7 linked regions of the Canis lupus familiaris genome follow. The protein of the gene in region 7 interacts with the protein of the main gene of each other region in a pairwise test. Links are inferred from orthologs where the notes say so. Each region holds a gene or a part of one and is shown on either strand. Other genes may lie near its edges. The genes, in order: UBE2W, CKS1B, ERCC3, NEK6, NTAQ1, CASP10 and XIAP.

Region 1 (4,212 bases), on a different chromosome or scaffold from region 7:
TTATATTACATTTCTATAATTTGTATGTCTTTAAAATAGTTCTTATAGCTTCAGTAATCTCCTCAGCCGCGATAACATCCTGACGACCTGGCGTAAGATAAAGAAATCTGAAAACTTTTTAGGTAAGGACATGGTTAGAGCAGCATATGTATACTTTTTCCTAAGCACTCTGACTGAAATCCCCAAAACATCCATTTCCTAACCTCCTTCCATGCTTTCCCTTCATAGCATTATCACCTTCTAATATAATATGCAATTAACTTAAGTATTTGGTTATCTGTCTCCCCCAACTAGACTATTGTATCCAGAGCAGAAATCCTTGTCTACTTTTGTTCACTGCTCTATCTCTAGCACTCTGATTAGTAGCACAGTAGGGCCCTTAAAAAATAATTGAGTAAATAAACAAATCCAGTTGTTTTGAAAAGAGTGAAATTTTGCTATTAAGGGGCATCTAGCTGGCTTAGTTGGTAGAGCAGAGTCTTGATCTTGGGGTTGTGAGTTTGAGCCCCAGGTTGGATGCAGAGATTACTTAAAAAAAAAAATAAAATAAAATCTTTAACACAACATTTTGCTATAAAGATGGTCAGGAAAAATTTTATTCACCAAAGACGGAATAACCACACAGAAACCAGTACTGAATTTCGAAAAGCTTGATTTATCTATATTAAAATTATTTTTCAAGGTACTGTCAGAAAACCTGTATCTGAAATATCTGTATCAGATATTTCGAAAATACAAACAAGCAGTGGGAAAATACCTAAAACACAGAAAATTCCACTTATTGCAGTGGCAAATATTTTTTTTTCCATTGCTCAAGTCACCATGTAAAATTCAAGATTATCAACATTAAGTCCTGCACTGACCCAATTCTGTATTCACTTTTTTCTCTTAAACCGGGAAATTTGTTTTTTCAGACCCTCAAAGTTTACATCTAACCAGCTAACTAGTTATCCCTATAATTGTCTTGTTAAATATAATCACAGGTGCTGTGGGTTTAACCATAATTTTTAGTCTTGAAACAAATTATTTTAATCTTAATACAAACTATCTTAAATTAGTCATATAGCCCATCTACTGTTCAACTAGTGTTCCACAGTTCCTTTTTTGGCCTCAAATGACGAAACCTCTCTAACGTCTCTGGGGAGACCAGTGTAAAGTATAATGTTTCCTCAAATTGTTCTTGTTTTTTCCCTGCACCGTTTTGTGACATCCCTTCAAGTAGGAAAGTTAGACATTTTTCTATTCTTCAGGAAAGTCCAGAAGCAGCAGCAACGGTAAATAGAATATCGCATGGAAAACTGGTTGAAAGGGGATAACACAAAAGCACAAAAGTAAATGTGAAGCAAGTATGTACGCAAAAGAGGAAGATGCAGAAAAGAGAAGAAAAAAGTGTTCTCGCCTAGAAATGAAAAACAAACCAAAAACAGAGGGTGGGGGAAGATAAGAAGATTTGCTTATTCTTCTAGAAACAAAAGCACTGAATCCTAAGAAAAACGTGGGTCTCTTTAAGATGTTAAAACTCTAAAAAGCACTCAGCTGCCACTCCAAACAACAGTTCTATCTTCTCTCCCTAGGTGTTCTCATCAGAGCTAGTCTTCATTTGTAAAATTAAATGCAGGCTATAGATAAAGCAGAGTCAATCTTTACAAAACTGCAGTGGTGGTTGCCATCTTTGCCTGGGGGGAAAAAAGAAAAAACAAAACAAAACAAAAAACCACAAAAAAACAAAAAAACAAAACTCCTTGGATCTGGAAAAAAAGGAGCATATTAAGTTGGAAAGCCAGAAACCCATGAACTGCTAAGTCAGGCAGCTATGACACAGGTTAATAAATGCCTCCTACCAAACTAAGATTCCACTAAAGATCTAGGGAAGAAGGGCAAAGGGCTGGAGCTTTACCGCGACCACAAGGGTGGGGCACCGCAGGGAAAGAAAAAAAAAAAAAAATCTGAGGGCGAGCCATCCCGGAGGTATAAGGGGGCTAGTGACTCAGATCTCGGGGAGACTGCCTCTTAGGAGGCAAATGATGTTGAAGGGCCAAGGGCAGCCTCGGGAGAGCGAGTGCGCTGCCGCACTAAGGTTCGCAGAGGGTGCGAAAGCTAACAGAGGAAGGTACCCACGGGGCAAAGGAGTGAGAGTCAAAGAGAGCAGGGCCGAGCGGTCGGAGCAGCTGGGCGTGGGAGGCCTGAGCAGAGGCCGCGAGGCGCTTCTGCAGCTGGCCGCCGTCCCCGGAACGCCTTTTCAGCTCCCCCCCGCCCCCGGCCCCTCTCCGGGCCGCCCTTGCCCCAGCGACGACGGCCAGAGCAGCTGTTTCCGCCCGGCCGGGGACCGCGGGGAAGGCATCCCCGGGGCGGGCGGGCAGGCCAGCGTCAGTGTGAGCGAGAGGCGACCCGAGACCACTGCCGCCACGCCAACGCCAAACTTCACCCCTTCCTCCTCTCAGCCTTCTTTATCCCCCAACTTCCCGGCCGGCTGGTGTCCGCTTCGACCGCCCGAGGACCCCCCCCTCCCCCGCCCTTCTTCTCGCCGCCTCGCACCCCTCCCCAACGTCCTGAAGCCGGGAAAGGACTGGCCACCAGGGCCGCTCCCGAACCCGCCCGGGTGCCCCAGAGTCCCGGACGCCGCCCCCGACAAAACGCTTGCGTCCTCTCGGCGGCTCCCTCGCCCGCCCAGATGCTGCAAACTCCTCTCACCTGCATTGACGCCATGATGGAACCATCCCCCCAAGGCCGGCGAGGCCAGAGACGCAGGGGGCGGAGCCGCCGTGCTCGCGTCACGCCGCGGGGGCCCAGCATCCTGGGCGCCGGGGGCGGGGCCTCCGGTGGGAAGGCGACGGCGGGAGGGGATTGGCTGGCGCCCCGGCGGGGGGAGGGGCGGCGGGAGCGCGGTCAATGGCGCTGTTGGTACCCTCGGGCCCAGCGCGCTCTCCGGCGGCCGCGCTCCCTCGCCGCCGCGCCGGGCCTCACCTGGCGACGGCCGTAGGTTTTTTTTTTTTTTTTTTCTCTGTTTACCCTAACATCTTGATGATGCCCAGCCCCGTTGGTTTTTCTTTTTGCTTTGTTTTTCCAACCGCTGGTGGTGTGGTTGGAAGATGCTCTTGGACGTCTTCTCCACCGCGCCAGGCCCATATTCACACCTTGGGGCGCGGTTCCCCTGCCCGCGGGGCTGCCTTTTACTCTTTACGGTCTGGAAGGCTTCTCGTGTTCCCAGTGTCGGGGGAGAAAGACGCATGTCGTTGTACAATGGGATGAGGACGGAGAGCAAAACAGTACGTTGGCATTCTAAGGGCCAGGGTGGATTTGTAGAGCTGAAACTTGCCCGAAAGGGAAGAGACATTTTTAAAGTTTTTCTTTGGTTCGTGTGCTGTTGTTTCCCCCTTTACACCAGCCCCTCGGTTTTAAACTAAACGGGTATCCGTAATAGTTAGGTTGTTACGGCATTCACATCTGTGTAGGGATTTGACCCTAGACGCGATTGTTTTGTTTTGTTGTTTTGATGGATCTGTGCACTTTGTAGTATACACTTGACACCTTTTGTCACATCTGGACTTGGCTTCAGCCTGTTTCGTGGTGGGCAGTTCTGTGGTCATTTGACCTAGGGATGTATTTGAGTAGGGAGAGGTGAGCATCCAGAATTTTTTCTGGAATGCACCAGTTCTGCCAACATTTATCAGAAGCCACCTTTTAAAAAGCTATGCCAGGGACCCCCGGGTGGCTCAGCGGTTGAGCACCTGCCTTCAGCCCAGGGTGTGATCCTGGAGACCTGGGATCAAGTCCCACGTCGGGCTCCCTGCATGGAGCCTGCTTCTCCCTCTGCCTGTCTCTGCCTCTCTCTCTCTCTCTCTCTCTCTCTCTCTCTCTGTCTCTCATGAGTAAATAAATAAAATCTTAAAAAAAAAAAAAGCTATTCGACAACTTCAGTTGTCATTGGTTAAGAATAAAATGGAAGGGGATCCCTGGGTGGCTCAGCGGTTTGGCGCCTGCCTTTGGCCCAGGGCACGATCCTGGAGACCGGGGATGGAGTCCCGCGTGGGGCTTCCTGCGTGGAGCCTGCTTCTTCCTCTGCCTATGTCTCTGCCTCTCTCTCTCTCTCTTTCTCTCTATCATAAATAAATAAATAATAAATAAATAAATCTTTTTAAAAAAAGAATAAAATGGAAGCCAGAGGCTTGCATCTCGTGTTCTATCTTTTAAAGATTTAGATGGCTGATACAT
Region 2 (4,139 bases), on a different chromosome or scaffold from region 7:
TACCAAGTGTGCTCTGCTGGGTACACAGCTCAGCTGAGGCTGCAGCCCAAAGAGCACTCAACTGGCCGGGCCATGGTGCTGTTGGCTCTGCTCAAGCAAAACAGTCAGCAGCACAAACAGTGTACTGAACATCCTTTAAATATCAAAGTGAGAAAACAAGAAGGCAACATAATGATGTTATCAGGAAGATGTTAGCAAGCGACGACAGCTGTGTAAAGCTTGAGGCTGGAAAGTGGCTGCCAGCTTCATTTCTTCGGCTTCTTGGGCAGTGGCCGTCGGAACAACAAGATGTGAGGTTCTGAAAGAGTGACATTGAAGAGACACGCTCACCCTGGTCTCTGCAGTGTGTAGTGCGTCCCCTTCCCATTTCAGACCTTTAGAACTACATTAAGATGTAAGCATATGGCCTCAGAAGCAGACCCTAAAGCTGGGCCTGTCTGCTAAGCAGAGAACTATTAGCATCAGTTCCTTTGCTGTGTTTGTACAGCCCCCCCATCCCCTGCCCACCTCCTTTATTAGATTTGCCTGGCTGCTTGTGGGTCTGGTGTCTTATCAAGAAATATACTTCCCTTGGCTTATTTGGGACACATCTGAGAATTTGCTTTCTCATGGAGAATGATGCAGGATCCATAACCTCTACCAGGGTGTTTGTGGCCTTAAAAAGGGTGACGGGTGTGTGTGTGTGATGCTCAGACTGAATTAGAGATTGAAAGAGTTTTTTCAGGGACAGGTTGTCTTCTGAACTTCCCAGTACTTGACTCTTTTTTGTCACTCTGATTTTTAAAAAAAATTTTTTTTAAAATTTATTTATGATAGTCACACAGAAAGAGAGAGAGAGGCAGAGACATAGGCAGAGGGAGAAGCAGGCTCCATGCACCGGGAGCCCGACGTGGGATTCGATCCTGAGTCTCCAGGATCGCGCCCTGGGCCAAAGGCAGGCGCTAAACTGCTGCACCACCCAGGGATCCCATCACTCTGATTTTTCTAGGTGGCTGGTGAGGAACCAATAGACCACCCTCACCTCTATTTCTTTGGGTTATACCATCTTATCATTCCTCTTTTCCTCAGCCAAGGAGCCCTAAATGGTTGTTTTCAGCCATCGCACCGACCTGGTTCATGGATCATATAATGGACCCATCCCTGACTCTGCTGAACTCCAAGATTCCTCCATTCAGATTCAGACATCAGATGGGTTTTAGGGACCAGCTTGGCTATGTCCTTGGGCAACATGACATGCCTGTAACAGAAACACGGAGGGATCACATCAGTACTGGGTGCAGTTGTGTTAGACAAATGCTTGTGTACAAAGCCAAGAGAGCAAAGAAAAGAAAAAATTGGTTCCCAATGGGAGAGTTTATGTACTCTTATCATGGGGCAGAGGCAGCTAGAAATAAAGGCCAGATTATGCAAATCGTCCCCCCAAGTATGTTAAAAAGCACGCGTGAGTAACTCAAGTGAACAGGCGCTGTGGACACCGCGCCCCTGCCTTCCTCCAGCTCAGTCTGCTAGCTGATTAGAACGATCTAAGGGCAGCCCCACGACACTCACAGCGTTAATTATTAAAGGTAGTTTTGAAAACGGCTGGTTTTGTGGAGAAGAAAGGCCTCTTGTGGAGCGCTGTGAGGAAGAGCCATCACAAGGATGAAATGTGAATATCTTCTCCTCTGAAATGTACCCTCCATTTCATTTTCCCAACTCTGAAAAGAGTTGCCATGAGACTCCTCTTGGGAAACCCCAGGTTTTCCTAACCAAGGATAAATCTCCTTTCATGGCAAAAAAAAAATCCTTACTCTCACCTGAGTTGGGCTACTCCAGATAGACCCCATCATGCTCAGGGAAAACACAGTAGGTGTGTACTAGTAGCAAATTCTTTCACAAACAGCGTCTTCGATCCCTAATCGGACCCGACCGACGCCCCCCAACGCCAGCGCCCGGACTTACAACTTCGGGGAGCTGAAACTAGCTCTGCAGAGGTGGCAGCGCACAGTCAGCGGCGGAAAGAAACCTAAGTGGCCTGGGTCCCCCAAGGGTCAGCACACGCCGAGTCCCCGGAGCCCCGCACTTGGCCGGGAAGGAAACGCAAGCCTGCCAAGTCTCCATCCCACGTTCTTCCAGGAAGAAGCCAAAACGGCACGCGGGCAGCATCCTCGCTCTTCCCTGGTACTCCTCCTGGAGGGGCGGCGCTGCCTCCGTCACACCGTGCCCGGGCGCAACTCCCGAGCCTGCGGCGCTGCGTCGCCGGGTCAGACCTTCCCACGAGCCGCACGCCCGCGCCCCCTTTCCCGGATCGTTCAGCACCGCTGCGGCCACTTCTTTCCAGCACGCCCCAGCGGGCAACCTCCACGTGCCCGGGGAAGCTCCCAGAACGATCCAGAACCCCGCATGGTGCGGGGTGCGGAGGCCTCGAGCTCTAGGCACGCCCCCTCCGCCCGCTCCCCGGCGCGGGACACACTGCGGTCCGCAGCTGTCCGCGCCCTCTCGCCGCCAGGCCCTCGCGCAGGCGCCCTGCTACGCTCCGCGCCCGCGCCCCGGGAGTCCCCCGCGCATGCGCCGGTCCTGTTGCTTCAGCCCCGGTGACTAACTCCTCTTGCCCTCACTTGTCAAAGTTCACGACCTCGTTATGGCCCCCGCGGCGGCACTAACCGGTACTCGAACTCCTCGTCGTCGTATTTGTCCGAATAGTAAATCTGTTTGTGCGACATGATCACTCAGCCTGAGGACCGTCAGGCCCACTCCGGCAACCTCCAAACAACTCCCAGCAGCACGCGCTCCCACCCACTTTGGCCTAGCTTTCAAACACGCCGCCCGCGCTTCCTATTGGACCCCATGGTTTAAGGCGGGACTACTCCACCTTCAAGCCGCCGATTGGTTTAGATTTGCTTCTGTTCGAGTCCTTATTGGACCGCGCTGCTTACGTTAGTCAAGAATGAGCGTAGGGAAAAAATATGCCTCTAATTGGCTATTCCTGCCCCCGTGCGCGTTCTCGCATTGCCATTGGCTGATTCGGCAAAGTGGGACGGCTGAAGGAGGGACGCTGAGGTAGAGGGTCAGGGGTTAGTGAGGCCGGAAGTGAGTGCAATAAAGTTTCTTCAGGGAGGCCAGGCCGGGGAGAAAGTTGGAACGGCGACCTAAGGAGGCAGTGGCGTGATCCGGAACCAAATCGAGCCGCGGTGCGGTGCGGAGACTCCATGAGGCCCTGGTGAGTTAGGTCTTCTCCCTCTCCTAAGGTGACCCATTCCTCCACCCCGGAACCCCTCTCCCGGGACCCTACTTCCGGTCTTCATGTGCAAGTCCCGCCCCCTGAGACCCCCCTCCCCGGAAGTCCCACCCCCATCTTCAGGGGGCTCCCCGAACCCCGACTTGTTTTCTGTGTATTGTCCACGACCCCACCCTGCTGCCCAGCTTTCCTGGAAGTCCCACCCCCGAACATGCTTCCAAGTCCGACTGTGAGAAACCTGACGGTAGTTCTCTGAGTTCCGATTCTTCGCCTTCTGGCGACGGGTCCCCCAGGAGGCCAGAGCCCCGCCCCTCCGAGGCCCGGCCGAGTGCCGGCAGCCCCGCCCCAGAGGCTACGCCTTCCGAGAGGCCCCGCCCCCCGCCTGATGGCGTCGGGCGGTGCTGTAGCCTCGCCTCTTACAGTGCCCGGTACCCGTGATGTGGGGCCCATTCCCCCTGGGCAGCGTCCAGAGTGGGGCGGGCTCCGCCCCTCGGAGCGCTGTGGTAGTCCCGAAGCCCCTTGCTGACACAGCTTCTCTTCTCCTTGGGCTTGGGGCTCAGCTCTGCGGAGCCAGTGCTTCTGCTCCAGCAGGTGGGGCGAGCCGGGCGAGGTCAGGGGCCGCCCTCCGCCTCCCTTGCCCCTCCCCCTGCCCCGCGGAGAGGGGCCTGGACTTGGGGTTTGGCGCCAAAGGGGCCGAGAGACTTGCTCCTGGGTTCCCAGCCCAGGACAGACTCCGCCCCAGAGACAGCTGTAGGGCTAGCACCCGCACCTCGGGAGCTGGTAGGGCCGTGAGGTTGGCGTGCAACCTGCGGGTGCACCAGGAGCTAGAGTGTCCTGCTGCCTGGAAACGGTGGCCTGGCGTGGGTGGAGGGGACAGTGGCCTTTTTGCTGTTTGAGTTTTTTTGTTTGTTTAGTTTTTTGG
Region 3 (4,004 bases), on a different chromosome or scaffold from region 7:
AAGAAGAAAAGAAAAAAAGAAAAGAAAGAAAGAAAGAAGAAAGAAGAAAGAAGAAAGAAAAGAAAAGAAAAAAAAAGAAAAGAAAAGAAAAGAAAAGAAAAGAAAAGAAAAGAAAAGAAAAGAAAAGAAAACTCTCAGATCTCAGGCTGCCCCTGCTGCTTCCCTTCTGGATCGACTACTGCATTGTATCTATACTCCTGCAGGCAGCTCACAGCCAACACTGAGCACAGCTAGTGTGCTGATGCAGGGTTCTTCCCAGCAAGGTGCAAGCCCTTCTCCCTGGGTACCCTCCCCACAGCACAAGAGAAGATTCTCACCAGGGCTCCTGTCAGCTTCTCTGAGTTTGGATACATTAGTGTGCCGGATGCCTGTGGCACTTGCCTGCCACTCTAGGTTTGGGGGTCTGAATCCAACTCCCTTTAGATCAGCCAAGGGCAACAAAAGTCCCCGTCTATCTCTTCTGAATGGCATTCGCCCATCTCTCAGGACAAACCCAAGCGTGTTCAACTGCTCTTCATATGGAACCTTATGCACTTCAACATTTGGAAGTTCTTTTCCACATTCCCAAACAGAAACTGTTAGCCATTGATCCCATATAGGCATTCAGCCTGAGATAGTCTACCAGTTATAATTAGTCTACTCAGTTGCCATACAGAACACCATAGACTGGGTGATTTAACAACAGAAACATTTCTAGAAGTCCGTGATCAAGTTGCCAGTGATTAGTTTCTAGTTAAAGCTCTCTTCCTGGCTACCCTTTCACCACGTGCTCACATGACCTCTTCCTTGTGCACAAAGAGAAACAGACCACATGAGCTTTCTGGCTAACTCTTCTTAAAAGGATGCTCATCCTACTGGATCAGGGCCCCACTCTTATGACCTCATTTAACCTTAATTACGTCCTCATTCCAAATACAGTTGTGTCAGGGGTCACAGCTTCAGCATCTGAATTTTGGAGGGGACACAATTCAGTCCAAAACACCATCCACTTTTGGTTGCATTCCCAAATAGTCCTGGCCAGAAGGGCTGAATTAGTATCCCAAGTGTGTTAGTATCCACTGTATTGGAGCAGCTCATGGGAAGGGTGGCCTCAGCAAGCATACCAAGCTGGATCCAGAAGAGGAGCAGCTGGGGTAATCAGTTAGGTGTGCTGACCACATGGCATTTTCACACCTGCCATAGGCTGACAACGTGTAGCATCTGTGCCCACTATTACTGCATTAACAAGGAAGGCAAAAGAGCTGGCCTTAGCCCCCACTTGCCTTAATAAACTGAATAATTCCATCAGGGACACCCGTCTTGCTGAGCTTCCTGAGGTACTCAGTGATGTCACTAGTTTGCAACCCAACACTGACAGCTGCATACAGGGAGTAGGCCGTTAATTTGTATTCATGCACATGGGTTGGTCGGCACACTGGTTCTGCAATCGCCACCAGGAAGTCTTGAGCATATTTGTAAACTGGAGAGAAGGCTTCCAAGAAGATGTGGCCATCAGGAGCCTAAGAAACACCAAATGGACACAAGAGGCAAAGAAATTAATTAATGACTCTTTCCCAGAGCACTATTCAGAAAGGACAAGCTGCCCCAGAAGTGATCTTAAACACCAGGGATGTTTGTGTAAGCACTGCTTCAGCCAACTGTGAAACCTGTTACTTTAACCACAAACAAGAAATGCAGAGACTAGAACAGGTTTCCAAAGTCAGGAGCTGCTTCCTCGTTTTCTTCGCAGGGAAAGCCCACCAGATGGGCTACCCTCAATGTACCTTCTGGCCAGGTTTCAAAAGAATGTAGAGTGTTAATTACTTCAAGTTGAGCAAAAGTGGTACCTAGCAAATACAAAGTTTCTATTAATTTTTTAAATGGGGAATTAAAAAATTACATAATAAACGGCATTTATCCGGTGAATAAAAAAAGTATTTCCACGCATGCGGTCTAGGTGGAAGGAAGAGGAGTAAGAGGAATGGCTGGGGATGAACGGGCCCAAGTCCAGCCAGCACGTGCTGCCCCACCTGCTCATTCCTACCGCGGGCCCCCCACACAGTATGCAAGAAACTCTCTCCCAAGCAGCTCTGCGGAGCAGTAGCCGCATTTGTTTTGGGCCCACAGCCTCTCAGTCCTGCCCTCGCTGAGGCATGCTCACCACCCAGAGAGGCCTCGAGCCGTGGTCGTCCTTCAGGGGCATCTGCAGCCTGTAGTCCTTGGCTCCGTACTCATCCACTTTGGTGCCGGACTCATCCACCTGCTTCCCGGCCGCCGAGGGCACCGCCTCCTGGGACTCGTTCCCGGGGACGTCGTCTTCATCTTCTTCTTCATCCTCGTAGTGCCGCTTCTTGGACTTCTTCTTATCTGCAGACACGGGCACAGAAGTGAGCCCGACAGAAACCTGGCAGCAACCACATTCCGCCGACGCCACGCCCTGCTAGCCCGGGGCCCGCTGCGTGCCGCGGCGTCCTCCCGCGGCGTCCTCCCGCCGCGAGGCCTCCCACCCGGCGCGACCTGGGGTCCGGATCGCCCCGCCCCGCCCCGCGGCCGGTCGCGGCAGCGTGCACAGGCCGCGAGATGCGGCGGGGTGGGCGGCCGCGGAGAAGCCGGGCCGCGACGCCACCGGCCGACGGGGACGGCCCCCACGGCGCCCGCACCACGTCTCACCGCGGTCTCTCTTGCCCATGGCAGCGGTAGCGGCACACGGCCTGCGCCGCCGGGTCTTGGCGGCGGCCGCTCTCAGGGCTCTCACTTCCGCTGCGCACCGGAAGCCCTTTCGGCAGGCGCGCAGGAAGTCCCGCCTCCGGGCTCGGGGTCCGGGCGGGCGCGAGCGAGCTCTCCGCTGAGGTTCCTTCTGAGTGTTCGGCTTCGGGCCCCTCCCCCACCCGTTCTTTCCTCTGGTCGTTGAAATATCTATTGAGCATCATCAGTATGAGCGTGCAGGCGCTGTCTTTAGCTGCTGGGGTAGGACTGAGCAAAGTGGAGCCCCTGGCCTCCCGGAACTCGAGTTCTGAGAGAGATGGGGGCGATGAACAGTTGCAGCGTGAGGAGCTCCAGGAGGAGCGAAGCCGGCCCAGAGTGGCAGGGCCGGTCCAGGCGGGGAGCCCCCGCAGTGCCTCTCTCAGGTGGCGTGATTCAAGCAGAGGTTCTGATAAAGGGAGCCAGTGTCCTCCGCAAATCCCCAGGGAGGAGCTGTGTGAGCCTAGGACTGGACCTCACGGGCTGGGCGTCCGATGGGAAGAAGCTGAGGGAGCTTGTGGCTGCGAGGAGCAGGGGGCGAGACCCAGCGCCCAGCACCAAGCATGCAGGTTGGTGGTTCTCAAAGTGGGGTCCCCTGGTTGCATCAACATGGAACAGAAACGTTCAAACTGAGGAGAGAGGCACAAAAGCAAAGTGTCCAGCCCTACCCCAAAACTCTAGAGGCACAACAGCCTTGACCTCCACTCGATACTGATGGCCAGGTTTGAGAACCACTGATGTAGAGCCTTGTAGGCCATGCACAAAACTCTGGGCTTCATTACAAAATAGAAAACTGCTGGAGACTTTTGAGCAGAGAAAATCTGATTCACTATTAAAAAGCCCACAGTAGCTGCTGTGTCAAGGATAGCCTCTACAAGGCCAAGGGCAGCGATGGCGACTCTCTAGTGGAGAAAGGCCGGCTTTATGAGGGTGGTAGGGATAAAGATGATGAACAGTGGTTCCAGCCTGAATGTATTTTTTAGATAGAGTGGGAATTGCTGACTGGGTTTGGAAAGTGAGAGACAGGAGTAAAGGATAACTAAGATTTTTGGCTTCAGCAACTGAAAAAATGATGTACCTTAAAGAAGGCACAGGTTTGAAGGGTGGTTTGGGACATTCTGAACTGGAGTGGCTGCATTAGTCTACCAAGTCCCAGAATAAAATGCCACAGACTGTATGACAAACAATAGAAATTTATTCTCCTATAATTCTGGAGGATGGAAGTCCCAGATCTAAGTCCTGCTCTCTTCCTGTATTGCAGATTACCAACTTCTTGCTTTCTT
Region 4 (4,223 bases), on a different chromosome or scaffold from region 7:
CAGCCCTTTCTATCTGACAGTCCTGGCCCTAGGCATGGGTCATCCACCGCCGAGGGGCAAGAGTAGACAAGGAAGGAGGGCAGCACTTCTGGGAAGACGTCTCCCAGAAGCCCAGAGCCTGGTGAGGAACCTGGCCCCGCAAGAACCTGGAACACAGTGACCTTTACTTTCTACGTCCAATGGAAAGATGGAGGGCTCTGCTCAGACAAGCCTGACTTCAACCGCACAGCATCCTGTGATCTTTGGCACATGATTTCATCTGTGTCCCCAGTTTTCTCATCTGTAAAATGGGCACCATGATAGTTCTGTCTCTGTGCTGCCGGGTGGACTGGGTGAATTTAGGTACTTACAGCTTTCGTGCCTGGCATATGGGATGCCCTCAACAAATGGTGGCCATTAGTTGTGATGCTACTTTCATAAAATTATGCCTCGTATTCCATCTCTCTGAGCCTCAGTTAGGTCATCTGTAAAATGGAGATGACAACCCCCAACCTCATGGGGAAGATGAAATGAGTAGATGTGTGTGAAAGCACCGAGCACCCAGCCTGTGCACCTTCAGAAGACAAGTTATCAGGCCCCTGGTGTGGAGGGCAGACTGGAAGTCAGGGAGGTGACAGGATTCTGCCTCTACCTCCTCTCAGCAGTCCCAAGACACAGGGTTGACAGAGACACAGGTCTCTGTGTCTCTGCGCCCACAACTACTAGGAGGATTAAAAGTGCACACAGTAGGTGCTCCGTAAGCATGACTTCCCCTGCCCTTCCCCTGCCCCCTCCTCGCTCAAAGCCACTGGAAACGTCACCTGGCAAAGCCAGGAGCTTCGATTCTTGAAACCCGAATGATCTGAAATGGCTCAGAGCCCAGACCAACCTGGGCCACTGCTTCAGTCTGAGACTTTATTTTCTGAAGACAGAAACTACTTTTAGTCATTTCCGAAGCAGACAGGACGGCAGAGGCTGACAAACCACAGGGACCATTTTAAATCCTGGGCCTTTTCTTCTGGGAAGTTAGGCAAGAACCTTCCCAAATGTTTGCCCGTGGGGCTCTCTGCCAGGGAGTGACTCATCCACAGCTCCCCACAGGCATATTTTATTTGGGGAGTGGGGGATGGAGGGAGGGCCTGGCCTTGAGGGGAGAAGAAGAGGCAGCCTTTCCAGCAAACCCAGAAGGTGGGTTGGGTTTTGTTTTGTTTTGTTTTTTTCATTTCTTTTTAGGACAAAAAAGAAAAAGAATGTGGATCTTTTTTGTTTCCTTCCAGGTTTTGTTTGCTAAAAGAAGACGTCCAAAGTTCACTCAGTAAGCTGCTGCGTTGGGAACAGGCGCCTCCAGCCGCTCTGCATCCCTTTCAATGAAATTCTTCTTCCATTAACACCACGATTTTTAAATGTGCCTCCAAGATCTGCCTGCGCACGACATTTTCTCCTCAGAAAGTCTAGCTGAGTTTTGAAAATTCAGGGGGACGAGGGAGTTCAGTGTTTCTGAAGTTGCCCTTAAAGCAATCGAGACTTTTTTTTAAGATTTGTTTATTTGTTTGTTTACTTATTTATTTATATGAGAGACACAGAGAGAGAGAGGCAGAGACACAGGCAGAGGGAGAAGCAGGCTCCATGCACCGGGAGCCCGACGCGGGACTCGATCCCGGGACTCCAGGATCGCGCCCTGGGCCAAAGGCAGGCGCCAAACTGCTGAGCCACCCAGGGATCCCCAATTAAGCCTTCTGACTGCAGAGATTTTCAACATTTCTAAAGCTCCCCCCAAAACTGTGTCAAAGCTGCGCAGACAGACCTTGGAAATCAGTGTCCCAAGCCTGCTGTGATCAATTTGTTACTGTCTTGGGGGCTCATGCTTGGAGCCCAGGCTCAACAAGTAAATAAGTCAGATGAATACGCATCTAGTCGACAGAGCAGGCAGAGACAGGGCGAGAGACCCTCAGATACACAGACAAGTGTCCTGGCACCCCTGGCCTTCCCAGGGTCACCGTCCCCCATCCCCACCCCCCAAGGCCCGCGGGAAAGATGAAAATCTGCCCGGGCCAGAGACCGGAAGAAGAGGAGCCAAGGGACCCAGAGGGGGGTGTTCAGGAAGAACTGAGGCCGCGTCCTCTAGCAGCAGGCCGAGGAGCCCTGCCCGCCGCAGCAGAGCCGCAGCCCAGCCTGAGCATCCTGGGGCCCCACCGAGGCCCGGCAAGGAGGCCTCCCCGTCTGCGGGGCCCAGCCTGGCTCTGCGGGTCTGACCTCCGCCCCCCTTCGGCGCGCGAGGCCCCGCACCCGCCGGGAGCCCACCCCGGGCCTAGTTCCCTCCGCGGGCTCCCTGGCACCCGGGAGGGAGCCGCCTGGTGGGTGCAAGGAGGTGCCCGCCCGCGTGCGTGAGAAACGCATTCACACCCTCCCGGACGCAGGGTGCATGTTCGCGTGCACGGACACGTACACTTTTGTCCTCAAAGGCTCCCAAACGCGCCCAGAAGTCACTCGTGAGCACTCGCGCACGTGCACACACGCACGCCCGGAGCCTGGAGCACGGCTCCCCATCCCCACGGCACGGGCCCCGCGAGCGCTCGGCCCCGCGGGAGCCCCGCCGCGCCCCAGCCCGCCCGCGGCCCCGCACGCCACCGGCCGGGCCCCCGCGACGCGCGCGCCCCCGCCCCCGCCCGGCCCGGTTCCGCCCGGCCCGGCCCGGCCCCAGGCCACTCACCGGCGCGCGGGCGGCTCGGCTGCCTCGGAGGAGCGGCGCGCGGGCGGCCGGAGCGGAGCGGGGCGGAGCGGGGCGGAGCGGAGGGTCCCACACTCGCGGCCGCACGCCCGTCCGCCCGGTTCCGCCGCCGCCTGCGCGGGCCCGCGCGCTCCCGCCCCTCCCCGCCGCGGGCCCGCGCGCTCCCGCCCCTCCCCGCCGCGGGCCCGCGCCGCCCCCTGCGCTCGCTCCCGCGCGGCCGCCACGCTGGCCCGTGGGCGCCCCGGGGAGACCGCAAGGCGCCCGGAGCCCCCGGGGCCGCGAGACGTCCGCGCAGCCCAGGCGCCCCCTCCCCGTTCCAAAGATGGGGAGACTGAGGCCCAGACCCTGCCGGCGAGTCGGCGCCAGCAGACCCCCCTTCACCCCTAGTCCCCGGGCTCTAGACGCTCAGGGCTGGGGTCCGCACTCAGCGAACCGGGGACCCGCCCCCGCATCCCTGGGTACCCCCCGACGCGGCCCCCTCCACGGCCCTGCGCACCCTGGGTAGCCAATCAGCTCTTATTGCGCGCCTACTGGATGCGGCGCACGTTTAGGAGGAAGCTCCAAGGGCATCTCCGCCTGCTGAAGGTGCTGCCCCCTGCCCTCAAAGCGCCAGCGTCTCCTTATATGGAGCTCCCCAATGCCTGTGAACCCCGAGATAGGGAGAGTCGAGGTGCAAAGGTTTCCGGGAGAAGGCCCTACTGAGTGGGTAACACCCTCTCTAAGGAGACAGAGTCTCCATGGGGCCCCGAAGGCTGCAGCTGGCCTCCTAAGGGAACCTGCGCGCCCCCTTCCCCCAAGAAGGGCTCCGGGCCGGCTCGCTCAGCTCCCGCCTCCTGCATCGGCCGCTGCTCCTCCACAGGCAGGACCGTGCGGTGTCCCCCCAGGACGCCTGGAACCAGGAACTGACACTGACCACCTGCCGGCTGTCCAGCTTAGTGACAGCACCGTGCCGAGCCCGCAGAGGACCCCCCGGCGCTCCACCTGGCTGCGACCTGTGACAGTAACGACACCCGTAGGACCCCCGCCAGGTGTCATACTCACAACCGCACAGCCATTCTGCGAAGGAGGCGTTATGCCACTTTCATGCCCGTTTTACAGATAAGATAAATGAGGTTTAGAACAGAAGCTGAGAGAGCCCAGTTCTCTTGCTCAAAGTCACCCAGTTGGTAAGGGTTGAGCAGGGAGCTAGACCACAGCACAGACTAACTCCAGTGCCCAGTCTCGGCAGTCCCACCTCATAAACAACATAGCTCTGGACTGCTGGTATAAGAGGGCACGGGGGACAGCTGGCACAGACGGCCCAGCCCAGTCCCAGCCTTGCCGTGAACCAGCAGGGACAGAACAGGTCATTCTACACGTTGGTTAGCGGTTTGGTCGGGGACCTACTTACAGTCTCACTTCACATGATACGCATCACAACAGATATCAGATAGATTGAAGAGGTAACTCCAAGAAATAAGCGTTTCAGAAAGTGATAGAAATAAATAGAAGTTCTGAGACAGTGTGTTGCAGTGTT
Region 5 (3,500 bases), on a different chromosome or scaffold from region 7:
AGGTTTTTATAACTTGGAATAAGTGCCTCCTCTCTGTGTCTTTTAGCTTCTGTCAGATGTTATTTATCTGTTCAGACCCAGCTGAGTGATAATAGTGGTAACCAGTATTTGTGTGGCACTAGGTGGTTTGCAGAACATGTCTGATTCTCTTTGTACTCTTCAGATGTTGGTTGAGCTCCTCCTGTGTGCCAGGGATCCTTACCTTCATGCTTCTCTGATCTCAGCCCATCACCAGTAATCCTTGCAGAATCTTGACCTTAATGCTGCGTTGTTAGTTTTTCTGCTACAACAAAGTAATCAACCAGTAGGTTGGAACGTTATTATCACAATCCCCCCCCCCCTTTTTTAAAGATTTATTTATTTATGATAGGCATAGAGAGAGAGAGAGAGGCAGAGACATAGGCAGAGGGAGAAGCAGGCTCCATGCCAGGAGCCCGACATGGGGCTCAATCCCGGACTCCAGGATTGCTCCCTGGGCCAAAGGTAGGTGCCAAACTGCTAAGCCACCCAGGGATCCCCCCCCCTTTTTTAAAGAGGTGCTAGGATTCATACCAAATCTGGGTTTCTTCCTATTCCACCAGTAACCCCAGCATTTCCAAGTATAAGTACCCCCCTCAACCTTTTAAAAGTAGGCTCCATGCCCAGAGTGAGCCCCATGCAGGGCTTGAACTGATAACCCTGAGATCAAGGCCTGAGCTGAGATCAAGAGTTGGATGCTTAACCGAATGAGCCACCCACCCAGGTGTCCCCAGGCCCCCTTTTTTTAAACATCAAGTTTCTTGAGATCCTCCTACATGTTATTAATTGTACTCTTGGGAAAAAAATTGATAATAAAAAGGGGCTACAAATTCAGTGACTCTTAGTTTAAATTTTTATTTCTCTTTGTAACATTCACACATATTTGAAAGATAATAGACAAAGTTTGTCCAGCCACGTACATATTCAGCCTGCCAACAGTACTTGGGGTACACACAGATTCTTAAAATCTTTGTGTTAACCCTGTGCCCATCCTTAGGCCTGGGGGAAGGGCAACACAAGGAGAAACCCCTGACCTATATGCCCTCCATCTTCCTGTGCCCCTCAAAATCAATGACGCTTCCTTCTGTGCATCTTTTATGGCCTTCTATGATGCTTGCTTATTTATGGATCTGTATGTCTTCTCTCACTGTCTGCAAGCTCTAATTTATCATTACATTCTCCAACCACTTAGCATGGTGCTTTTATATCATGGGTTCTTGATGTCTTTGATCAACTCAAGAATGTCTAGAGGCTGGACAGACATGTCTTCTAAAAATGTGGTCTTAGAACATCCAGGGTTTTTTTTTTTTTTTTTTTTTAATTTATTTATGAGAGACACACACAGAGAGACACACAGGCAGAGGGAGAGGGAGAAGCAGGCTCCATGCAGGAGCCCAATGTGGGACTCGATCCCGGGTCTCCAGGATCACGCCCTCGGCTGAAGGCAGCGCTAAACCACTGAGCTACCGGGGCTGCCCAACATCCAGGTTTTTTAAAATGTAGCTAATACACGTCATATGTCATGTTGAAACTGTACCTTTTTGCTTACCCCATACTACATAGCCTATGGAAGTAGTAGCAGTTTCCTGTTTTTACCTCTGCCACTACTTTTTCTGTTAAGATTTCTTAGGTATCTTATAGAAAAAAATCATAGGAAAAAAATACACTTCATTTCGGTGCTTTAAATGTAGTCGTGCAGGTAGACAAGGTCAAAACTGCATTGAACGTGTGTCATAAAATGGTGGTAGTCCTTAGTGCCGTGTATGCCTTACTTTATTTTCAAGTGGCATAGTGTAGGTGTTTGGAAATTAGACTTTGACAGTTGAATCATGAGTATGAGCAGAGTGTTGATGCAGGTTGTTTTGAACGAAGGTGCTATGTGCCTCATTGAAAAAAAATAATCCAGGGGCTGAGCTGTGAATACTGCCAGCAGTGAATGTTTTTACCTGTGTGGGAGTGTGCCTGTGGCCACCAGTGTGGCTTGGTTTGATGCACTTGGCATTGCTTAGGTGGTTCTGACTACTGTTTTAAATATCTAAAGGCCTGTCATAGAGACATTTATCTGGGGCTGAAATATAGGAAGGTGGATTTTAATTCAGTATGAGAAAACTTTCTAAAAGTCAGGACCTCTGTTGTACCAGAGGGATGTAGGGAATCCCACTCAGAGTCTCTCTCCAAAAGAATTCCTAGGCATATCATGTAACTGCCCTCAGTCCTTTCCAGCCAGAAGCCCTCCTACCCAAAACATTATTCTTGCCCCTTTCCTAAGGGGAGCAGTGAACCAATATTAACTAAGATTTTTCAAGTGTTTAAAATATGATTATCCTCATTTTACAGGTAAGAAAAGTAGATACTCAGGTCAAGATGTTCAAAGCTTCTTACCTTGTTTAAGTGGCTGAGTTGGAATTCCAGCTGTGTCTCGAGTCACTGGACCCAAAGCTGTGGAGTATTGATGTAGCATTTTATCAGTTATAAAATGCCTCCATTTGCAAACACTGCTGGGGCAGGTAACAACTGCTGTGTTTGGAGAGAGCTCAGCACACAGTATAATTTGGGTAACACTTTGTTGGGGATATTTTAGAGGAGGGTCAGGCATCAGCTAGTTATTGAATGAGGTGGTGTTTAAAATCTCTTCCAACTTTTTAATATCCTCATCAGTCTTCTGTTCAAATTTGAAAGACACAGAGAGTCATTGTATAATTATGTTGATGAAACTATTATTTTATTTCAGTGAAGAAAATATCTGGAAGCTCTGTGAATACATCAAAAACCATGACCAGTATCCTTTAGAAGAGTGTTACGCTGTCTTCATATCTAATGAGAGGAAGATGGTAAGTTGGTGACTGATTGCAGAAAGAGAACAAGAGATTTAGGGTGATAGTAGAAACTAAATATAATATATGGGGTCAGTGCTGTCCTAACGTGCTTTATAAAATAAAATAACATTTTAAAGTTTATTTTTGAATGAGATTTTTTTTTCCCCTCATTTCAGGGCACAGTTGAGTTAGAAAAGTTAAGTCCCTTATTTGTAGGTCAAGAAATAGATGATGGTGTATTTACACAAGTTAAAGCTTTTTAAATTCCTTAGACTACAGCCATGTACTCTCAGGTTTGAAGTAAAGATGTTTTTGTCTCTGGAGTTTAAATAAAATTATGATAAACTTACATGAATTATTAAAAAAGCAAACCCTTAAAAAAAAGCCCTTAATATTTTGTAAAGCACCTTTTAAATTTTTTTTTAAAGATTTAGATTTTTAAGTAATCCCTACACCCAATGTGGGGCTTGAACTCACAACCCCGAGATCAAGAGTCACACACGCTACCAAATGATCCATCCTGGAGCCCGTAAAGCACTTTTGTAAGCATCATGTCATGCTAATGGAACCATGATAAAGTAGGCAGGGTTCAGATGGCTGTTTCTGTTTTATAAAGGAGGAGATAGAGACTCAGGGAGCTCCCATAACAATCTGGGAAACTAAGAC
Region 6 (3,500 bases), on a different chromosome or scaffold from region 7:
AGAGAAGCACTATGAAATGGCCAGAGGTGATCTGTGATATTTAATTGGGCAAAGACTGTAATCATGAGCTATTAGCTTTGATTGTATAAACAATGGTTTTGGAAGATCACCCTGACATGTATTAGACTCCTCTCCTCAAACTACATTCAATTCCACGTAACTACTATATTTAAAAAAAAAAAAAAAAAACAACTTCTGAATATTTCTCATAGCAAATATACCATAAATTAATTTAACTTTCACATTAATAATTACAAAATCAGGCATCACTGAGAGTTATTTTTCTTCATTCCCTAGATCTTTCATGAGCACCAGCAGATACCAGGAAATGTTCCTAAACCCCTGTTATGTCCTCTGACATTCCGGTTTACTCAAGTGGGGAAATAAAATCCTGTAAACAATAACTGTCTGGAGGACTACAGCAAATCAGTTTGCCTCCAGACTGGCCCAGACACTTGGGGGAATGTAGTGGCCCATGTGGCCTCAGCCTTGTCCCCACCCACTGCCAAATACAATGACCCCTTCCTCTGAAACATCAGTGTTCACCTCTTCTCTGTCCCCAGCATGTGACTGGTCACTCCTGGGGGAAAAGCTCCCCACCCACAAGCTCTGCAATGTGCCCCTCATCCTGTGGGCAGGGTGGGAGTGGTCCATCCCCGCCCTGGCCCCCACCCTGCCCCTGCTGTTGTTTGTGCCTTTGAAGAGTGTTAAATTATGGAAGCCCCTCAGGACCCTCCTTGTCCCCCAGGACCTCTTATTTATACTAAAGTTCCCTGTTTTCAAAAAAAAAAATCTGCATCTATAAATTAAGGCTTTAAGTTCAGGGCTTTCAACCTCCCTCTTTCAGGAACTGAAAAAAATTCCTCTTGAAATTGAAAAAAATAGTAAGTTCACATAAATAAAGATATTCAAAACCTTAATGTAAAAAGTATCAAGGCTTCCATATCGAACCACACCCTCTAAGGCACAGCCCGACAACCGTCTGATTAAGGACTGAACAACATTCCCTGTGAACAGCTTTAGACTCTCTGGCTGCCTCTCTCCTCAATCCTTTGGGCCAGAGGAGCAAGTGTGTTGGGCCACAAGGCAGGGGCTGTTGACCATTGTCAGCACAGTGCAACCACCAAGAGAACCCTTGGCCAAGAGAGACATGCTATACGGTGCAGACTGAATCCTGATTCGAACCTCATGTGCAGCCAGCACTACCCATCTGTGTTTCCTTTTCAGATGAAGGAAACAAGATATTCCCTTCTCTGCTTTAGTTGGTTTGACGTGGGTGTTCCGTCATCGGCATCTGAAAGGTTCTGACCGACACAGGATTTAACCTCAGGTGGTAAAGTCTCTGCTCTCATAGTGGCTCAGTGCGTCTCTTTTCATACAGTCATCCTAGAGCAAGGATGTTCTCGGCCCAAGAGAAACAGTTCCTGCAGGAATATCTTCCTTACACTCAAGTGGTAAGTGCGTGTCGTATAGAGCAAATTCTCACCTAAGCAGATGTGCAGAAGAGAAGCCTTAGGAAGGGGAGAGCAGAGGTCAATGAACCATGCATGATCTCTATCATCATCCAATGTCCAAAACAAAGTCGTGCAGAGGAGACACAGAATGACAACAAGGGGTGTTCATGTAGAAAAGAAGTCGAAGCCCAGTTGAGGCTAAAAACAGTGGTTCTTAGAGCTCAAATTAATCTTAAAGTGTACCTGCTTCCACCCTTTACTTCAGGGATTCACAAACCAAGACCAGTTGCATTTCTCAGGGTACACAACTCCAGCTAAGACGACAGTCCAAGGCTTCAATAAAGAAAGTGTTCTAACATTCAGACTTGTCAAAAAGAAGAAAAAAAAAGAATTTCCTGTGTCAGTAAATAGGGAATTTCCTATTGTTAGGAGGACAGACAGAGGCCAGCTCCCCATCTATCTCTGATTCCTATGACGGGCGGGAGAATGGAATGATGAACCAAGCTTCCTTTCAAGTCAAAGAGTCAAACTGTCTACTACAATAAAAGTTCTTTCTGTGGCACAGGGAATACTAGTTTCTTCCGTAGTGTGTACGCAGGTTGGGGCATTTGTTTCATCGTTCCTTGTTTGTCTGCTTGTTGACTCACATCATTGTTGACGGCAGTGAGGATGGATAAGATATCTTCATGTCTGCAGGCAGATAAGAAAAAAACATGTTCAATCAGGAGACAGAAAGCACATCATAGCAAGGAACCCTAAACCATGTGGCTTCTTCCCAGTTTAATAGGCCAAGATTCCCCCTGGAATTCTGCCAAATATAAAGAAATGCTTATGTCAAAATTAAAACAAGAGATGCAAAATCAAATGAAGCTGTTCAGTTCTATATTTAGCATTTAAGAACACTATACCAGCCACATCTTGCATTTTAATTTTTTTTTCTTTTTGTTAAGCAATCTACACTGAATGTGGGGCTTGAACTCATGATCCTGAGATCAAGAGCTTCACACTTGGGGCGCCTGAGTGGCTTAATGGTTGAGCATCTGCCTTTGGCTCAGGTCATGATCCTGGGGTCCTGGGATCGAGTCCCACATCAGGTTTCCTGCAAGGAGCCTGCTTCTCCCTCTGCCTATGTCTCTGCCCTTCTCCCTGTGTCTCTCATGAATAAATAAATAATCTAAAAAATAAGTAAATTAAAAGAGTCTCATGCTCTTCTGACCTCACATATTACATTCTAAGGCACTTGATCCACAAAGGATGTTTGCATTTAATTATTTTTTCAAGTTTCTCGTCCAAACTGGTGGATAGATGATAGATGATAGATAGATAGATAAGTAGGTGATGAAGATGGAGAGGGACACTACTATTAATAATTCCCTCTCCATTCTTGGTTTGAGGAGGGATACAAAGATACACATGGCACAGTTCCTGAGCTTAAACACTTCAAATGCAGATATGAAGCATATACCAAGTATGGCATATACACAAAATTCACTAATACAAGGCAGAAGATCAACACCATATAAAAAGTGGACAAATCCCCTTCTTTTGTGGCCCCCAGAAGGCTCAGTCAGTTAAGCATCTGCCATTGGCTCAAGTCATGATCCCAGGGTCCTGGGATGGAGTCCCACATGAAGCTCCCTGACTGGTGAGGAGTCTACTTAGGTTTCTCTCTCCCCCTTTCTCTACCCCTCCCCCTATTTATGCTCTCTCTCATCACTCTCTCTAATAAATAAATAAAATCTTTAAAAAAAAAAAAGTGGACAAAGTTCCATTGTAAGTTCAGAGGAAAAAGAGCACTTCCTGCTGGGAGATGATTCCATAGAGGAGTCTTCTCTATGAGAAGCCTGGGCTTGAGTGATATTTAGCATTTATCAAAATGTTCCAGGAGTAGGCCATTCATATACTTGAGAGCAAAGCACAGGCTCTCTGGAGATGGAACTCAATTGTGAATCATGCCTGGCTACATCCCTTGATGATTGTGCGCCACAGGCACAATTCACTGTGCCTCAATTTTCTAAGCCCTAAAATAAGGACTATAAGAGTACC
Region 7 (3,500 bases):
AACAGAACATGGTATTATCTACACTAAGGAAACTTTTTCTACCATAAAAAAAGAATGAAGTAATCATGTATAAGTACCACAACATGGATGAACTTCAAAGCCACATATTATGATTCCATTCATATGAAATGTCTAGAATAGGTACATCCAGAGAGATAGAAGTAGATGAGTAGTTGTCTGGAGGCTGAGGGGGAAGGGGCAGCAATGGGGAGTGGCTGCTAATGGATACAGGGTTTCTTTTTTGGGATTATAATAATGTTCTGGAATTAAATGGCAGTGATGGTTTGTTCCACAACCTTGTGAATTTACTAAAAACCACTAAAATGTACAGTTTATAAGGGTGAAATTTTTGCTACATGAATTACACATCTCAATTTTATTTTATTATTGTTTCTTTTCATATCTCAATTTTTTTAAAGACTTATTTATTTATTCATGAGAGAACGGGGTGGGGGTGGGGGGGAGACACAGGCAGAGGGAGAAGCAGGTTTCCTGCAGGGAGCCCAATGTGGACTCAATCCCGGAACCCAGGATCATGCCCTGAGCTGAAGGCAAATGCTCAACCACTGAGTAACCCAGGCATCCCAATAAATGATTTCTTAAACTTTATTATTTATGCCCATTTCAAAATCTGTATCAAATATTATCAAAGTGGCTCTCCTTCTTAAGTATATTTATGAATACTTATAGTTTTCTCTTGTCTTGTAACCCTTAAGATACCAAAAAGATGATGGTATAAGGAATGGGGAATCAGCAGACATATTCTAAATTACACTTTCTACTATTTTTGAAACATGATGCCTAAGCTGGAAATGAGATCCACAGTGTGATGCAGATTTCAGAAGACCCCGTTAATAGTCCCAGTTCCACTAATGATTTGTAAATGTAACTGTGGGCGGGTCACTTAACCTCCTGGTCTCTGTTTCAGCATCTGAAAAGTGGAGATAACAATATCATCTTTGCTTAACATAGTATCTTTCTGGATTTTTAAAAAAAAGATTTTATTTACTTATTCATGAGAGACACAGAGAGAAGGCAGAGACATAGGCAGAGGGAGAAGCAGGCTCCATGCAAAGAGCCCGATGTGGGACTCCATCCCGGAACTCCGGGATCACACCCTGAGCTGAAGGCAGATGCTCAACCGCTGAGCCACCCAGGCATCCTGGTATCTTTCTGGCTTTTAAAGATGTTTATGATGAGTAAATAATCTTTGGGATAAAAATCTCTACCTTTCTATAAGGTAAGAGAAGATAAACTGAACCATGCCCCTCTGTGAAGAAACTGGGGGAGGCTCAAGAATGGCATGGGATAAGGAAGCAGGTAGGGCCGACCATGGTGATGGCACATTAGTACAGCACTGGATTCATGGTCCTGGCTAACTCAAGAAGTACCTGGGACAAAAATACACTTATCTCTCTTCCTTTGGGGATTTTAACAGAAATGGCAATGGACAGCCTATAGCTGCTCCTCCTAAGCTTGGAAAAGCTAACTGCACAACCGCCATAGGAATGTCCTTTCTTAAAATTTTATTTTTACTTTACTATAATTAGTATCATTTTATGTAATGTATATAATTATATAACTTATAATATAATTTAGTATAATTTAAATTTTTCCAGTACAATTAATGTACAGTGTTACATGAGTCACATGAATGTTCTTACTATATAAATATCTGACTTAAAAATTTTTTTAAAGATTTTATTTATTTATTCATGAGAGACACAGAGAGAGAGAAGAGAGACAGAGGCAGAGACACAGGCAGAGGGAGAAGCAGGCTCCATGCAGGGAGCCTGAAATGGGACTCGATCCTGGGTCTCCAGGATCACGCCCTGGGCTGAAGGCCGTGCTAAACCACTGAGCCACCTGGGCTGCCCTGACTTAAAATTTTTAAAAAGATTTTATTTATTTATTCATGAGAGACAGAGAAAGGGGCAGAGACATAGGCAGAGGGAGAAGCAGGTTCCCTGTAGGGAGCCTAATGTGGGACTCGATCCCAGGACCCTGGGATCATTACCTGAGCCAAAGGCAGATGGCTCAACCACTGAGCCACCCAGCTACCTATAACTGACTTAAATTTATAGGCACTTCCTAATCCTTAAATTTATAGCAATCTCATCTCAAATAAATCTACTTTGATTATCTTGAAAAAATAAGCTTATGTCTCTACCCTATAAAAAAACAACTGTAATAAACTGCTAATGAAATTAAAAGTATATTTATTTTAATGTACATACTTACCAATTCTTTCAGTTAATGACCGTGTTCTTTCAGCAGTTCTTAGCTGAAATAGAAATATGGACTATAAGTTAGAATTCTTTTTGGTAGAAGATGATTACCTCAATTTGAAAAGTTACACTAATCATGAATTTATAAATTGGCTTTATTCCAATTCAACATATGAATGTTTGCAAGAGGCATAACCTGATGAAGCTAGAAGGAAGGTTTTTTTTTTTTAAGATTTTTAAAATTTATACATGAGACACACAGAAAGAGAGAGAGGCAGAGACACAGGCACAGGGAGAGAAGCAGGCTCCATGCAGGGAGCCTGATGTGGGACTCGATCCCAGGACTCCAGGATCACGCCCTGGGCTGAAGGCAGGTGCTAAACCACCGAGCCACTCAGGGATCCCCACTAGAAGGAAGTTAAAAGATCATCTAACACAATCCACTCACTCTATAGACAGGGCACTGAGTCTCAGGGAGTTTAAACAACTCGATTGAGGCAAGGGAGCTCATGGTAGAGCCATAAATGACAACTCTGGCTTCCCATTCTAGTCCATGGCTCTTCCCACATGGTACCAATACCTTAGCCATCCCAGGCTGCCATCAATTTAGACACGCTTCTGAGATTTAAAATATTGCCTTTGGAAAGTTCACAATTATTTATGAGTATAAAACACATTATACAAAAGTCTAATTTCAGAAAGTTGAGGGATTAAGTATTTTAGTTCTTCAAACCCATTTTTATTTACAGTGAGTTAAATCAATCAGCTTATGGGGATTCCTCTTTCACAAAGCTACTTCAGGTTAAGAAATAACAAGCATTCGGGATCCCTGGGTGGCGCAGCGGTTTGGCGCCTGCCTTTGGCCCAGGGCACGATCCTGGAGACTCAGGATCGAATCCCACGTCGGGCTCCCTGCGTGGAGCCTGCTTCTCCCTCTGCCTGTGTCTCTGCCTCTCTCTCCCTCTCTCTGTGTGACTATCATAAATAAATAAAAAAATTAAAAAAAAAAGAAATAACAAGCATTCTTCAAGATCTCCCCTTTAAAGCCCACCATACATTATTAATTTAAGATACTATACTGTGAATTTTACACCAAGAAATCATTGCAAAACAAATTAAATAATATTTTATATTCTACAATATGTGACTTACCACTGAATGGGTTAAATGAATATTGTTTATATATTCTTGTCCCTTCTCTTCTAACAGATATTTACACCTAAACAATTAAAAGAAGGTTAAACTTTGGTAGCTGATAAATCAGTAAAGTAT

Evidence for each region.
Region 1: the proteins of XIAP (region 7) and UBE2W interact in a two-hybrid assay, tested with the Homo sapiens proteins (2 studies listed by BioGRID and IntAct). The link is inferred for Canis lupus familiaris from reciprocal best matches to the Homo sapiens genes XIAP and UBE2W.
Region 2: the proteins of XIAP (region 7) and CKS1B interact in a two-hybrid assay, tested with the Homo sapiens proteins (3 studies listed by BioGRID and IntAct). The two-hybrid records come from large-scale screens. The link is inferred for Canis lupus familiaris from reciprocal best matches to the Homo sapiens genes XIAP and CKS1B.
Region 3: the proteins of XIAP (region 7) and ERCC3 interact in binary tests that used the Homo sapiens proteins (3 or more experiments, as listed by UniProt). The two-hybrid records come from large-scale screens. The link is inferred for Canis lupus familiaris from reciprocal best matches to the Homo sapiens genes XIAP and ERCC3.
Region 4: the proteins of XIAP (region 7) and NEK6 interact in binary tests that used the Homo sapiens proteins (3 or more experiments, as listed by UniProt). The two-hybrid records come from large-scale screens. The link is inferred for Canis lupus familiaris from reciprocal best matches to the Homo sapiens genes XIAP and NEK6.
Region 5: the proteins of XIAP (region 7) and NTAQ1 interact in binary tests that used the Homo sapiens proteins (3 or more experiments, as listed by UniProt). The two-hybrid records come from large-scale screens. The link is inferred for Canis lupus familiaris from reciprocal best matches to the Homo sapiens genes XIAP and NTAQ1.
Region 6: the proteins of XIAP (region 7) and CASP10 interact in binary tests that used the Homo sapiens proteins (3 or more experiments, as listed by UniProt). The two-hybrid records come from large-scale screens. The link is inferred for Canis lupus familiaris from reciprocal best matches to the Homo sapiens genes XIAP and CASP10.

The regions. Positions count from the first base shown.
Region 1 is NC_049250.1:22,894,820-22,899,031, forward strand, and holds the start of UBE2W (ubiquitin-conjugating enzyme E2 W), read right to left. Parts: upstream 2,801-4,212; 5' UTR 2,794-2,800; coding exon 2,692-2,793; intron 1-2,691. UniProt on the Homo sapiens protein: Accepts ubiquitin from the E1 complex and catalyzes its covalent attachment to other proteins.
Region 2 is NC_049228.1:42,484,136-42,488,274, forward strand, and holds the start of CKS1B (cyclin-dependent kinases regulatory subunit 1), read right to left. Parts: upstream 2,801-4,139; 5' UTR 2,703-2,800; coding exon 2,644-2,702; intron 1,238-2,643; coding exon 1,110-1,237; intron 299-1,109; coding exon 246-298; 3' UTR 1-245.
Region 3 is NC_049240.1:24,666,747-24,670,750, reverse strand, and holds the start of ERCC3 (general transcription and DNA repair factor IIH helicase subunit XPB), read right to left. Parts: upstream 2,801-4,004; 5' UTR 2,669-2,800; coding exon 2,650-2,668; intron 2,347-2,649; coding exon 2,141-2,346; intron 1,500-2,140; coding exon 1,263-1,499; intron 1-1,262. UniProt on the Homo sapiens protein: ATP-dependent 3'-5' DNA helicase/translocase. Binds dsDNA rather than ssDNA, unzipping it in a translocase rather than classical helicase activity. Component of the general transcription and DNA repair factor IIH (TFIIH) core complex.
Region 4 is NC_049230.1:58,759,089-58,763,311, forward strand, and holds the start of NEK6 (serine/threonine-protein kinase Nek6), read right to left. Parts: upstream 2,801-4,223; 5' UTR 2,690-2,800; intron 1-2,689. UniProt on the Homo sapiens protein: Protein kinase which plays an important role in mitotic cell cycle progression. Required for chromosome segregation at metaphase-anaphase transition, robust mitotic spindle formation and cytokinesis.
Region 5 is NC_049234.1:22,159,734-22,163,233, forward strand, and holds part of NTAQ1 (protein N-terminal glutamine amidohydrolase), read left to right. Parts: intron 1-2,749; coding exon 2,750-2,849; intron 2,850-3,500. UniProt on the Homo sapiens protein: Mediates the side-chain deamidation of N-terminal glutamine residues to glutamate, an important step in N-end rule pathway of protein degradation.
Region 6 is NC_049258.1:10,201,323-10,204,822, reverse strand, and holds part of CASP10 (caspase-10), read right to left. Parts: intron 2,145-3,500; coding exon 1,991-2,144; 3' UTR 1-1,990. UniProt on the Homo sapiens protein: Involved in the activation cascade of caspases responsible for apoptosis execution. Recruited to both Fas- and TNFR-1 receptors in a FADD dependent manner. May participate in the granzyme B apoptotic pathways.
Region 7 is NC_049260.1:96,096,813-96,100,312, reverse strand, and holds part of XIAP (E3 ubiquitin-protein ligase XIAP), read right to left. Parts: intron 3,448-3,500; coding exon 3,381-3,447; intron 2,285-3,380; coding exon 2,242-2,284; intron 1-2,241.